Rattus norvegicus: one gene and its partners. The protein of the gene in region 3 interacts with the protein of the main gene of each other region in a pairwise test. Links are inferred from orthologs where the notes say so. Each region holds a gene or a part of one and is shown on either strand. Other genes may lie near its edges.

What was found. The genes of interacting proteins can lie anywhere in the genome.
Region 1: the proteins of Bbln (region 3) and Thap11 interact in a two-hybrid assay, tested with the Homo sapiens proteins (2 studies listed by BioGRID and IntAct). The link is inferred for Rattus norvegicus from reciprocal best matches to the Homo sapiens genes BBLN and THAP11.
Region 2: the proteins of Bbln (region 3) and Cep290 interact in binary tests that used the Homo sapiens proteins (3 or more experiments, as listed by UniProt). The two-hybrid records come from large-scale screens. The link is inferred for Rattus norvegicus from reciprocal best matches to the Homo sapiens genes BBLN and CEP290.

What each region holds. Positions count from the first base shown.
Region 1 is NC_086037.1:50,655,624-50,659,156, forward strand, and holds Thap11 (THAP domain-containing protein 11), read left to right. Parts: upstream 1-1,215; 5' UTR 1,216-1,433; coding exon 1,434-2,360; 3' UTR 2,361-3,033; downstream 3,034-3,533. UniProt on the Homo sapiens protein: Transcription factor, which has both transcriptional activation and repression activities. Also modulates chromatin accessibility.
Region 2 is NC_086025.1:37,195,616-37,199,582, forward strand, and holds the start of Cep290 (centrosomal protein of 290 kDa), read left to right. Parts: upstream 1-1,167; 5' UTR 1,168-1,339; intron 1,340-1,873; 5' UTR 1,874-1,901; coding exon 1,902-2,003; intron 2,004-2,158; coding exon 2,159-2,236; intron 2,237-2,923; coding exon 2,924-2,993; intron 2,994-3,791; coding exon 3,792-3,838; intron 3,839-3,967. UniProt on the Homo sapiens protein: Involved in early and late steps in cilia formation. Its association with CCP110 is required for inhibition of primary cilia formation by CCP110.
Region 3 is NC_086021.1:36,072,271-36,076,531, forward strand, and holds Bbln (bublin coiled-coil protein), read right to left. Parts: upstream 2,801-4,261; 5' UTR 2,709-2,800; coding exon 2,630-2,708; intron 497-2,629; coding exon 324-496; 3' UTR 55-323; downstream 1-54. UniProt on the Homo sapiens protein: Essential for intermediate filament organization in intestinal cells, interacts with intermediate filament and regulates intestinal lumen morphology.

The DNA of each region.
Region 1 (3,533 bases), on a different chromosome or scaffold from region 3:
TCAAAATCTGAAGGAGTCTGGGAGGAGGACAAACATATAGAATCAAGCTTAGGCCAGGAACCAGAAACTATGGATTGCTTTCTTTTTTTTTTTTTTTCTTTTTTTTTTTTTTTCTTTTTTTCTTTTTTTCGGAGCTGGGGACCGAACCCAGGGCCTTGCGCTTGCTAGGCAAGTGCTCTACCACTGAGCTAAATCCCCAACCCCTATGGATTGCTTTTTTAAAGGAACCAAAGAGGCTTCAAATCCAATCAACACAGCTGGAGTCTTCATTTCAGTCTCCATTTCCGTACCGCTTCAGTGGAAGTTCCATGAAACAGCCCGATGATTCTGAAGTGCCATCAAGTCACTTCTAGCTCTAGCTACTTAGGTTTCCCAGGCGAGGCGGCAGGTATCTGTCCACTTCCAAGTTTCTTATTGGCCTATCTACTCATGCCTCCCTTCGTCATTGTCTTCTTTGTCCAGCTGATTCCTTTGTGGCCTTTATTGATTAGACATCTATTGGCGCTTACTCATCTTTTATCCATAAGACACTCTAATTAGTCTCCAGGAGAGAGAGCGCTGGGGAGGACCTGACTGCTCAAAATTACCTTGAACGTGTTTTCCCCTTCACTGTTTGGCACATAGTAAGCAGCTAGTAGGGACCTGGTTTAGGTCAGTGAGTCCAAGTTAGAGGTAGTTGAGAGTCGGGAGACTGCTCCCAATATAAGAAAGTGACTCCAGAAGTTCTTCTGGGCTGACTTGGGCTTCCTCCAGGCTAATGAATGCACTGTGGAGTTTGGGGGGATTTTTAGAGCAAGCTATAGAACCTCACTCAAATCCTGGCCTGCAGGAACTCCACCTCTCCTTTAGGCGGCGCTGCAGTCCGCGGCCGCACCAAAACGTTCTTCTGATGCAGCATGGAACTTGTAGTCTTTGTGTGTTAGACACAGAGCGCTTGCGCTCACGAGGCACGCGCCCCGTACCATCAGGATTCCGGGTCCTTGTGAGGGGTAGTCCGTGCGACAACGTTCCATTCGAATACACTTCCCCCCCTTCGCCTTGGACGAGCTTTATCTGGAAAATAATCGACTCTGAACAGGATATCGCGGTGCCCGGGAAAGCAGCCGGAATAAGCCCGCCCCATCCCGGAAGTGAGCGGCTTCTGGCGCGGTGCATTGTGGGGGGCGTAGTCCTCCTTTCCAGGCGGTCCTTCGCGGCGTCCCCCGGGCCGACTCCGAAGCGCAGGCGGGCTGCCGGGTGGGTAGCGCGGCGCGGGCGGTCCGCAAGCATATTCTGGGCACGGGGCCTCCGCTCGGGAGGACTGCGCCGGGCGGCAATAGTGAGAGACCTCTAAGAGCCTCGCGCGGCACCGCCCGTCGAGGAGCTGAAGTGGGGGCCAGACCCGGCCGTCGAAGAGCTCAAGAGGCCGGTGGGCCGGGCCGCGCGTCGCAGCCATGCCTGGCTTTACGTGCTGCGTACCGGGCTGCTACAACAACTCACACCGAGACAAGGCGCTGCACTTCTACACGTTTCCCAAGGACGCTGAACTGCGGCGCCTCTGGCTCAAGAACGTGTCCCGTGCTGGCGTCAGTGGGTGCTTCTCCACCTTCCAGCCCACCACGGGCCACCGTCTCTGCAGCGTTCACTTCCAGGGCGGCCGCAAGACCTACACGGTGCGCGTTCCCACCATTTTCCCGCTGCGTGGCGTCAATGAGCGCAAAGTAGCTCGGAGACCTGCGGGAGCTGCGGCAGCCCGCCGTAGGCAGCAGCAGCAGCAGCAGCAACAACAACAACAGCAGCAGCAGCAGCAACAGCAGCAACAGCAGCAGCAGCAGTCTCCGTCCTCCTCCACTGCCCAGACTGCCCAGTTGCAGCCGAATCTGGTGTCTGCCTCTGCGGCCGTGCTTCTTACTCTTCAGGCCGCCGTAGACAGCAGCCAGGCTCCTGGAACCGTGGTTCCAGCGCCCACTACTTCCTCGGGAGATGATGTGAAGCCCATCGACCTTACAGTGCAAGTAGAGTTTGCAGCTGCTGAAGGGGCAGCCGCCGCTGCCGCCGCATCAGAGCTAGAGGCTGCTACAGCTGGGCTGGAGGCCGCTGAGTGCACTCTGGGCCCTCAGCTGGTGGTAGTAGGGGAAGAGGGCTTCCCTGATACTGGCTCCGACCACTCATACTCTTTGTCGTCCGGTACCACGGAGGAGGAGCTCCTGCGCAAGCTGAATGAGCAGCGGGACATCTTGGCCCTGATGGAAGTGAAGATGAAAGAGATGAAGGGTAGCATCCGCCATCTGCGTCTTACCGAGGCCAAGCTCCGTGAAGAACTTCGAGAGAAGGATCGCCTGCTTGCCATGGCTGTCATCCGTAAGAAGCACGGAATGTGAATGGTTCCTCCCAGAAACCTGCAGAATTCGTGACTCCTTCCAGCCCAAGGAATCCTCAGGCAGATGTTGAACTCCCCAATATTCTGGTTGACAGTGCTGAGGTTTAGGACAGTGGGACTTAAGCTGGTCAATTGGCACCCTCTTTCGTTTCCTCCTGAAGTAGGAGTTGGGGACTTCAGAATCTGGTGACACCAGCAGTTATGACTTTGTCTCTCACTCCCCAATTTATGTTGCAGATTCTGGTTATACAAAGGCTTCAGAACCATTGAACTTGAAACTTACCCTGGAGGGGTGCAAATGGGACTCTTAGGGACTGTGGGTTTGAGAAAGCCCACATCTTAAGGTTGGCCAGCAATTGAAGACAGCTTTGCTGTGTGTAGTAATAAGAGATCTCAGTAACATCATTTCTCCTTTTCATGCTACCCGTTTCAGGTGCAGCCTGTGATTCTGATGGAGACTAGTTGATCTGCGCCTCTGCCTGTTAGGACCTCTCTACCCAGAAGGTCATTTATCAGAGGACTCTGGGTGACTTGCTGATGGAGATCCAGCTGACCAGGGACTTAGGTTTATCTCGTTATGTTTGCTACTGGTTACAAATTCTATTTTCTGTACAATTAGACTGAAGTTTTCACTGTGTTTGGCAAAACAAATTAAACAAGAAAGTAAGGTTTTTATTTGGGTTTCGACATTTTATTTTTATTAAAGCTAAGTGTCCTTGAAATATAGGAGTATAGGTCTTGGCCTGTTTGAAAGAACAGGCTAGCCCAGAAGGTAGAGAAGCTTTAAAACAATGGCCCGGTTTCTCCATAAAGCACATAGATCTTCATAAAGTTCCTTGTTCAGGTCACTCCAAAGAGTTTGGAAGCTGCACAAAAGGTCTTGGTTTGTTCATGATTATTTCGTCGGATTGTTGTGTATGTATACATACATAAATGTGTGTAGTATGGGGTTGCCTGCCAGAGGTGCTATACAGCCTTTTTGGGGTTGGGGGGAGAGGGTCTTCTTGTGGTTGGTGTCTAGCTCAGTGGTAGAGCACTTGCTTAGCAAGCACAAAGCTGTAGGTTCAGCCCAGAGTTCTGAAAAAGAGAGGAGGTTGGAGGTGTCTTCTCACTTGCTTGGATCTCACCCAGAGATAGGCTATTTGGCCAACCAGTGAGCCTCAGGGAATCTGTG
Region 2 (3,967 bases), on a different chromosome or scaffold from region 3:
GATGATGTCTTTAAAATTTGTTTCAAATATCATTTTTTTTTGCGCTATTTGTTTTTCACAACCACAGAAATCTTTTCAAAAGCAAATTTTAACTGTCTACATTTTTCTTTTAATTACTTATTATCTATTATGTATGATACATACAATTACTCTATATACCCATTTATACATACATAAGCACATATGAGACACACTGTTTCAAACAGAAGTTTACAGCTCCTAATGTTACCTGCTGGTGTAGAATGACTGTGGAATTGGAAAAAGTTCCTAGAGTAAGAAGGCAAACATCCGAGAAGGTGCTTTCACCCAAGAACCCCCCTTGGTACCCAGCAAATGACAGCAAAATGCCAGAGCTTGGCATGGCCCTTCTTCCTCCCTCCAGCAGGGCTGGTCACGCACTAAGCCTCCCCTTTCTTCGGCCTTCACTTCACACTTCTTAACCTAATAAGCAAGCTGCAGCAGGAGGCTGTCCATCCTGATGCTCCTCCACTCAACCAGAGCATGAACTCAGGGGGTGGGGGTGGGGGCGCTCCACTTTCCCAGACACTTAGGGAAGCTGGAAACTTTTATTCACTCCCTTCTTACGGAAGCCACTAACTGGGAGCCCCCAGCATACACCTGAGTAGCTGGAAGACTTTCTCACCTCTGTAAGATCCGCCGGCGCTCCAGCAGCCCCAAAACAGAGCTTCCCTAAAACGCAAATGTTCCCTGAGCTCCTCCCGGCCGCTGAGTGACCCGCCCCGACCTCACCTGAGGGCGGCTCCGCCAAGAGATGGTTCAGGAAAGCTTCGGAGACGGTGGACCGGAGAAGGACTCTGCAGAAAACACTGTCATAGTCCGCCACGCTCCGGCTCCTGGGCGGCCGCACCTTAGCAGCCGCTCCTCCCGCCTCCCGATCCTTCCCCAGCTCTTCCAGGGCGGCCGCAGCCTCTCGCATTGCACGCCGGGAACGCGCTGCTCTTCCCAAAACTTCTAATCCCAGTATGCACAGCCGCAGCGCCGAACTGCACTCTGGGACGTAGAGTCCTCTTCTCACGGCTTTCCCTCATCCACAGTGAAAAAAGGTCTTGGAGGGGGAAACATAGCCGTAAAGCTTTTCCCCCAGTCGTGAAATGTAGTCTTCCCTGGTATCCGGGGCCTAGTTCCGGCCTTGGCTGGCTGGGCGGGGAGTGGTGTCGCCTAGCAGCCGGCGCCGCTTCGGCTTGTTTGGGAAGAGTTGGCGGGAGCAGCTTGAGTGCGCGAGGACAGCTATTGGAAGCGAGAGGCCCAGGCGGTGGCCGAACCCGGACGTGATCGCTGTAGATGAGTGACTGCTGCTGTTTTGCCCGTCTTGGTTTAGGTGGGTGGATTCTCGTGAGCCGGAGCAGCTTAGTGTCGGTCACAGGTTCATAATCCTGGGGGACAGCGTGCAGCCTACCTACCCAGTCCTTCTATCGCTCTTTTCCGCAGTGCCTCTGCCTCCGTGTTTGAGCTTGGTTCCGCGCACACTTCATTTAGCTCAGTCTTTATTTATCCACTTTAAAAATCCTCTCGTCCCCTGTCCTCAGAATCGGAGGAGGTATTCAAAAACTTCCAAATATCTTGAGAGTTGGTACCATCATTGATGATAAGGGACTTGGAAAAGGGGACTCGGGGTTTTAGCTCCGATTTTGTTTTAGCAAAGAAATAATAATTTAGCATGTGTATGATCGTATAGTCTGTGACAGGTGAACTAATTCTCATCTTGGCTGTTTGCCTATGCATCTGTTTTTCGGTTCAGGAGCCATAGCTCTCAGCCAGCACCTAGGGAGTTAAGTTAGAACGATCATGATCATGTAAACACTGCAAATGCCATCTTCCCTGAAAATGCTGAAATCCATCTGCTTTGTTGTAGGAACTGAGAGGCAGTGAAAGAATTCAAGATGCCACCTAATATAAAATGGAAAGAATTAATCAAAGTTGATCCAGATGAACTGCCACGTCAAGAAGAGTTGGCAGATAAATTATTGATATCCTTATCCAAGGTACTTAATACATGATTTGTACACAGATCCTGAGGTACAATGTCACGAATAGAAATTGCTTCTTCAAGTAATTGAACGCTATAAGCGGAAGAGTGATTGTATTTTATGCACAGGGTATGAAATAGTCCATGTATTTTGTGTGTTTGTTTCCTTAGGTGGAAGTAAATGAACTAAAAAATGAAGATCAAGAAAACATGATACATCTGTTCAGAATTACTCAGTCACTAATGAAGGTTTGTGGGAAAGAGTGTGTAGGAAAAGAAACTTTTTTTAAGAGTAACATAAAGAAATATAACCAGGGGGTCAAATAAAATGCAAAACCTTTCCCCTAAAAGCTAATTGTGAAATGACAGGATTCTAGATTCTTTATAAATAAATACTGAGAAAGAATATGTATTAATTCGTTCCGTTAAGGTAAAAGCACATAGAAAATTTGTAGGGTCTAAACAGATTTTGGGTTGGTAGTTTAGGGTATACTGTCCAAGGATTTGAGGGCATATTTTGGCTCTTAGCACTTTAGAAACGAATAAAGGATTTTTGAATCATAGTTGGCCAATATAGAAATATGCTTATGAAGGAAAATTAAATGTATTGTATAGATGGAAGGGATTAGAGCTGATTAGCTCCAATTATAAGAAGAGATTAATACATTTATTAATAATAACAATTGGGATAGAAAAAGATAATGAAAACATTGAGAATAGTGGATATACTTAACAGAAAAATCAGGTTCAAAGTCTTGCCCCTCTAGAATTTCTAGCCTTAAGTATTTAGTTAACAACTACTTACTGACTGACTCTCTGCGCCCGTCACTGCACACACTAAAGACTGAGATAGCGAATTTCACACCATTTCGATTTCCACTGTTTATATTGCAGCGTAAATAACCCCGGATCCCCCCCTCTTGTTTTAATGTTCAGATGAAAGCTCAAGAAGTGGAGCTGGCCTTGGAAGAAGTTGAAAAGGCTGGGGAAGAACAAGCAAAATTTGGTAAACGTCTAGGACAAAAAAAAAAACCAAACTACTGTGGTTCTATTTATTAGATGGTTGGAAGTTTATCAGATTCTATAAAGTGTGCATTCAATTCATATTGGAAGAGGCTACATCCTTGCCCAGTTCCAGGGACTGACCTGAGTGCTGAGGTAGGGGCTGAAGAAGAGAAAACACAGACACACAGAACAGTTGGATTCGGTCGCACTGGGCTCACTGACGGAGAAGCTGCCACACCCCAGAAGCTCAGTGTCTTTATTCGATCCACTTGAACAGAGTAGTGGAGTTGTTGCAGGGCCGAACATTAAGTCAGGTGACGGCATACAGATAAACAAGGCGACAGGATTGCTGGCAGACAGTTGAACAGGGAGGCAGAGCTCGCTAATCTGAGTAGGAGTAGTCTCTGTAGCGGAGTCAAAGCCATGAGAGGGAGCAAACTCTGGTGGATATTTTCTACAGATTCTGTCAACATCCACACTCAGACTCAGAGGGAAGGCTTTGCCATTTGCCATAGGCCTGAGACTTTGAGTTACTGACATGGCTTTGCCCGTGTCAGCAGGTACACGTTGACTCAGGACCTCACGCACTCAAGTCTTCCTCTGCCCTCTACATCGAGGCATTTCTACAATGCATAGTTTATGCATTTAGTATATGATAATTACTTTCCTTTACATTATCTGATAAGAGGATGGAATCTTTTACAGAGAATTGTACTATTTTATTGAAGTTTACTTAGCATCTGTCTGACTACAGGAAATTTAACCAATTGAAACATTTGTTGTTGTTTTTTTTTAATAGAAAATCAATTAAAGACAAAAGTAATGAAACTGGAAAATGAACTGGAGGTATATCCTTTTGTATTTTCTTGCTTTTGAATTTCCTTGTAATTGTTATTAATTAAAATATTTAAAATTATTTTCAAATTTTCCTACTGCTGGGATGGAAAATACAAGGCTTTGTGCTCAAGAGTTTAC
Region 3 (4,261 bases):
TCCAGTGGCAACTGGGGTCCTTGTCCGGGCACAAAGAGAAGAAGGGGGCAGTGGTGTGGGAGACCTCTTTAATATGACACTCAATCTGGGTGGAGGGGAGAGAGACCAGGAGCTGGGAAGGCAGACAAGTGGGTGAACTGTAGGACTGCACCTGACTCCAGGAAGAGTGATGGGCAGTGAGTGGGGACTGGTCCAGGCTGGTAGACCCACCAGGGGATCTGGAGGCCAGTACCTGAGATGGTGTCTAAGCCAAGTAGTATCTAGCCAGGCCAGAACATGGCCTAGAGAGGTAAGGGTGGGGCCTGGTTGGGGGCTCCCGGCACCTAGGGGCTGGCATCACCAGGGGCCTCCCCAAGCTGTTGCTGGAATTCCAGGCGTGTCTGCCGATTGGACTCCAGCAGCTCCTGGAGGCGGGCATGGAGGTGGTCGTTCTTCTCCTCCAGGTGGTCCAGACAAGAGTTGATCTGATCCAACATGGAGTTGATGGCAGCATACTCTGGGAGGAAGGGAAAAGATAGAGAGAAGGTCTTGTGTCTCCTTAGAGCTGACAGATACAGCTCAAAGCCTTCTGCTCCTCTCACCTGCCTTGTCCGATTCAGGCCCTTTGAATAGACCGGTGACCTGCCTAGAAGGCACTGGGTGGCACCCTTGTCATTCCCTCTGGGATGACCACCGCTTATTTCAATTTAGCTGTCACCAAGGGGAGGCTCCCTGGGTCCGGTACTACATCAGACTCTGTCCTGGTTCTCCAGCCTCCCCCTCTCCACAGCAACCCTTCAGAAATGACTGCTGTAGTGTGCTGGTCTGAGCTCACCCTCTGCTCACACTCAACTATCAAGCTCTAGGGGAGGTGACGGGTCTTGTGTTCTCTATCTCCCCAGTGCCCTCGATGACACAAATAAGCACTGAATGAATGAATGAGTGAATGCATGAATGAATGAAGCTCTGGCTTTCCAGTCCCTGCTTTTGCTTAACTGTCTACCATCTACTTCATCAGCCACAACAATCCTTCAAGGACCTACTCAAAATACCTCCTCCTCCATGTCTTCCCTCCTCTGAGAAGTCTTCCTGTCTCCGTCCTCTACAGCTTCTTTGACCTGCCTCTTAGCAATGTTGTGTCTCCTTAGGATCCAAGGTCTGGGTCCGTGCCCACTGCGGGACCCACTTCCGAGCCAGCCCATGACTCAGAAACACCCAGCTGCCAACTTGGGAACAAAGGGAAGGAGCTGGTGGTTTTAAGGAAGAGGCCAGGGAGGGCGACTGGAGCATGAGTGTGTATGTGCTGCCTCTCAGGGACAGTTCCCATGACCCACAGAGGGCATCCTTCACACAGCCTAGAGCCTCTCAAGCTGCTAGTCCATCTTCATTCCATCTGGTGACAGGGTCAAAACTCAGACCTAGGGTCAGAGACCCTTACATGAGTCCCAGGTCTGCTCTAGCCCAGCACTCCTTATTAGAGTGGGGTAGGGGACTCTGCAATTGCAGTACACTGAGAGCTCAGTCGGGGTCAGGCCACACCAAGCACTTAATGGGTAGCTAGCTGTTCCCATCCATCCTGGCAGGCCAGCAGAAGGGCTAGGAGAGGTGATGTCTGCAGGCTCCACCTACGTCCTGGGTACTTCCTAGCCCTTGCTCCAGTCCTGGGACAGCCTCTTCCCCACCCCAATGTCATTCAATTATGCCACCACCTCACCTAGTCCCCTCATGATGCTCACTGTGGCTGCCAGCAGTCACTATTGTCCAACAGTGCCCACTATGCCTCCAAATGGACGACAACCTCTATTAAGGGCAGAACCCAGGTGACAAAAATATTCTGAACCTGTTGTGACAAGGACTATGCTGTGAATATATGAAACTGCAGAACTGTACAGTTTAAATGGTACAATCTAGTGTGTTACCTACAGCTTAATAAAGTTTTTATAAGAAAACAAAAGCATACCCCATCCTTATTGCACAGTAATCAAGTCCTGCCCTCTAGGTAAGGCACCAGACTTGACAACACTCAAAACAAACAAACAAGAACCGGCTTTCAGAAGGAACTTGTACTCTGGAATCTTAGAAGCTAACCATTTCTATCCCATTTTCCCTTAAATTCTGACACACTTCAATACAGAAGACACCAATGTGCCCAATATTGCAGATGGGAAAACTGAGGTTCCCAAACGTGCAAAAGCTGTCTGTGGGCCGATGCGTCCCCTGAGGTCCTTGGGCAGTGTTGTGCACCCAAGCACAGTACTCAGTAAGGAGGTCACCAGCAAAGCCAGATGGCTGGGGTGCTGACTCAGCATAGTGGGGAGCCCACCCGGCCAACACCTGCAGAGCCATGCATGACCGCCCCCTCTTAGCGAGGAAAGTGGCTGAAGCAAATCCCAAACTGACAAGGTGCTCTGAAGCTGCCTCAGTTTCAGACACCAGGGTTGGTTAGCGACAGTTCTCCAGTACTGCAGCGCTCAGGGATCTGTTTGCTATTGCTCGCCATCGCCTCCGAGGTGGCTGTGGGGACAACTCCAGAGCCCAACTCCTCAGGCCCTCCCACGCCCCCCGTCCCCGCCCGATTCCAGATCTTAAGGCCAGTACTCCCCGCAGAGTAAAGGTCGCCTTAGCAACAACCCCTCTCCTCCCAGGTCACCTGCTTCCCCGAAGCTGTCATTCTCGCCTTCCGTGCCCGCATCCACCGGCATGCCTAGGTCCCCGTTGGGGCCCGACATTGCGGGCTCGGGCGCCGCAGAGGCCACGCGAAGATGGAACTCGGCGATCGTCGCGCGGAAAGCCGGCGCTGGGCGGAAGGTGCAAGCAGCTGATGGAACACCGGGCCGGAAGAGTGGAACGCAGCAGCGCACTCAGGCCGCCCTGAGCCCCGCCCAAAGCCCAGCCCCTAGGCCTCCGCGCTACCACGCCCTTTGAGCTCCGCCCCCTCCCTGCTTCGGCGCTCTATCACGCCCACAAACATGGCTCCGCCCCGTCCGCTCTCAGGCTCCTCCTTCTCTGGCTTCTGAGCCCCGCCCCTCTCCAGGCCGCAGTGACCCGCGGTCAGCGGAGCCCGAGGACGTACAGAAGGTCAGGCAGTAGAGACCTTAGCCCCCTAGAGCTTGGGATATGTACGAGACTCCATCCTGCTGCTTCCTTCTCTCTGCATGGTCGGAATCAGAACTTCTCCTCCCCAGTCACCAGGAATCTGCCATCTTCCCACCTCCCCCTGGTGCTGCCGAGATGACCCACAACCCCTGTCCTATCTTGGCCAATCTTGGCCTCATCTCTTCTCTTAGGGTTCTCAAAGGCTACACTTTCGGGTGAGATCAGATTCCATACCAGGACAGTAGACGTAAATAAAGCCAATCTGTTTGATTCACGCCAATAAATATGACATGGGTTGGGAAGGAGCGTGAAGGGTTGTGTGTCTGGTTCCCAGTACAGAAAAGACTTGGTGTGCTCTGTAGGTGCGCCTGGGGTCTGTGGAAGGTCTGTGTGCTAAGTATCCTTGCTTGTGGCAGTCCATCACGGAAGACTTCATGATAAAGACCTCCAGCATTCACGTTCCCCCATGCCATGCACACTGGGAAGGGAAAAGAGACCTACACGGGGCTGGAGAGATGGCTCAGAGGTTAAGAGCACTGTCTGCTCTTCCAGAGGCCCTGAGTTCAATTCCCAGCAACCCATTGTGGCTCACAACCATCTGTAATGAGATCTGGTTCTCTTCTGGCATGCAGGCGTACATGCAGGCAGAAAGCTGTATGACCTATACATAATAAATAAATAAATAAATATTTTTAAAAAAGAGAGAGGGGGCTGGGGATTTAGCTCAGTGGTAGAGCGCTTACCTAGGAAGCGCAAGGCCTTGGGTTCGGTCCCCAGCTCCGAAAAAAAAAAGAACCAAAAAAAAAAAAAAAGAGAGAGAGAGAGACCTACACAAAGTCAACATCCAGAACCACTTGTGGATGGGACCCAGAAGAGTAATCGGGATCCAGCTCAGGGTCAGGGTAGTGTCTCAGGAACACTCACTTACCAGGACTCCTAGAGCTGTAATGGCCAGGTGACACCCCCCCCCCCCCCCCCGTGGCATCATGTCACGGTGGCTATTCCAGAGTGCAGGCTGTTCTCAGCACAGAGGCTTCAGTAAAGCTGGGAGAGGAAGGGAAGTGGATTCTTCCTCAAACCCCAGAGGAAGCACAACCCCGTGGACACCAGGAAATTAATGCAAGGGTGGGCTTAGGAGCTAGAAGAGAGTGCATGCTAATTGTAGCAATGTGTTGCTACAATGCGG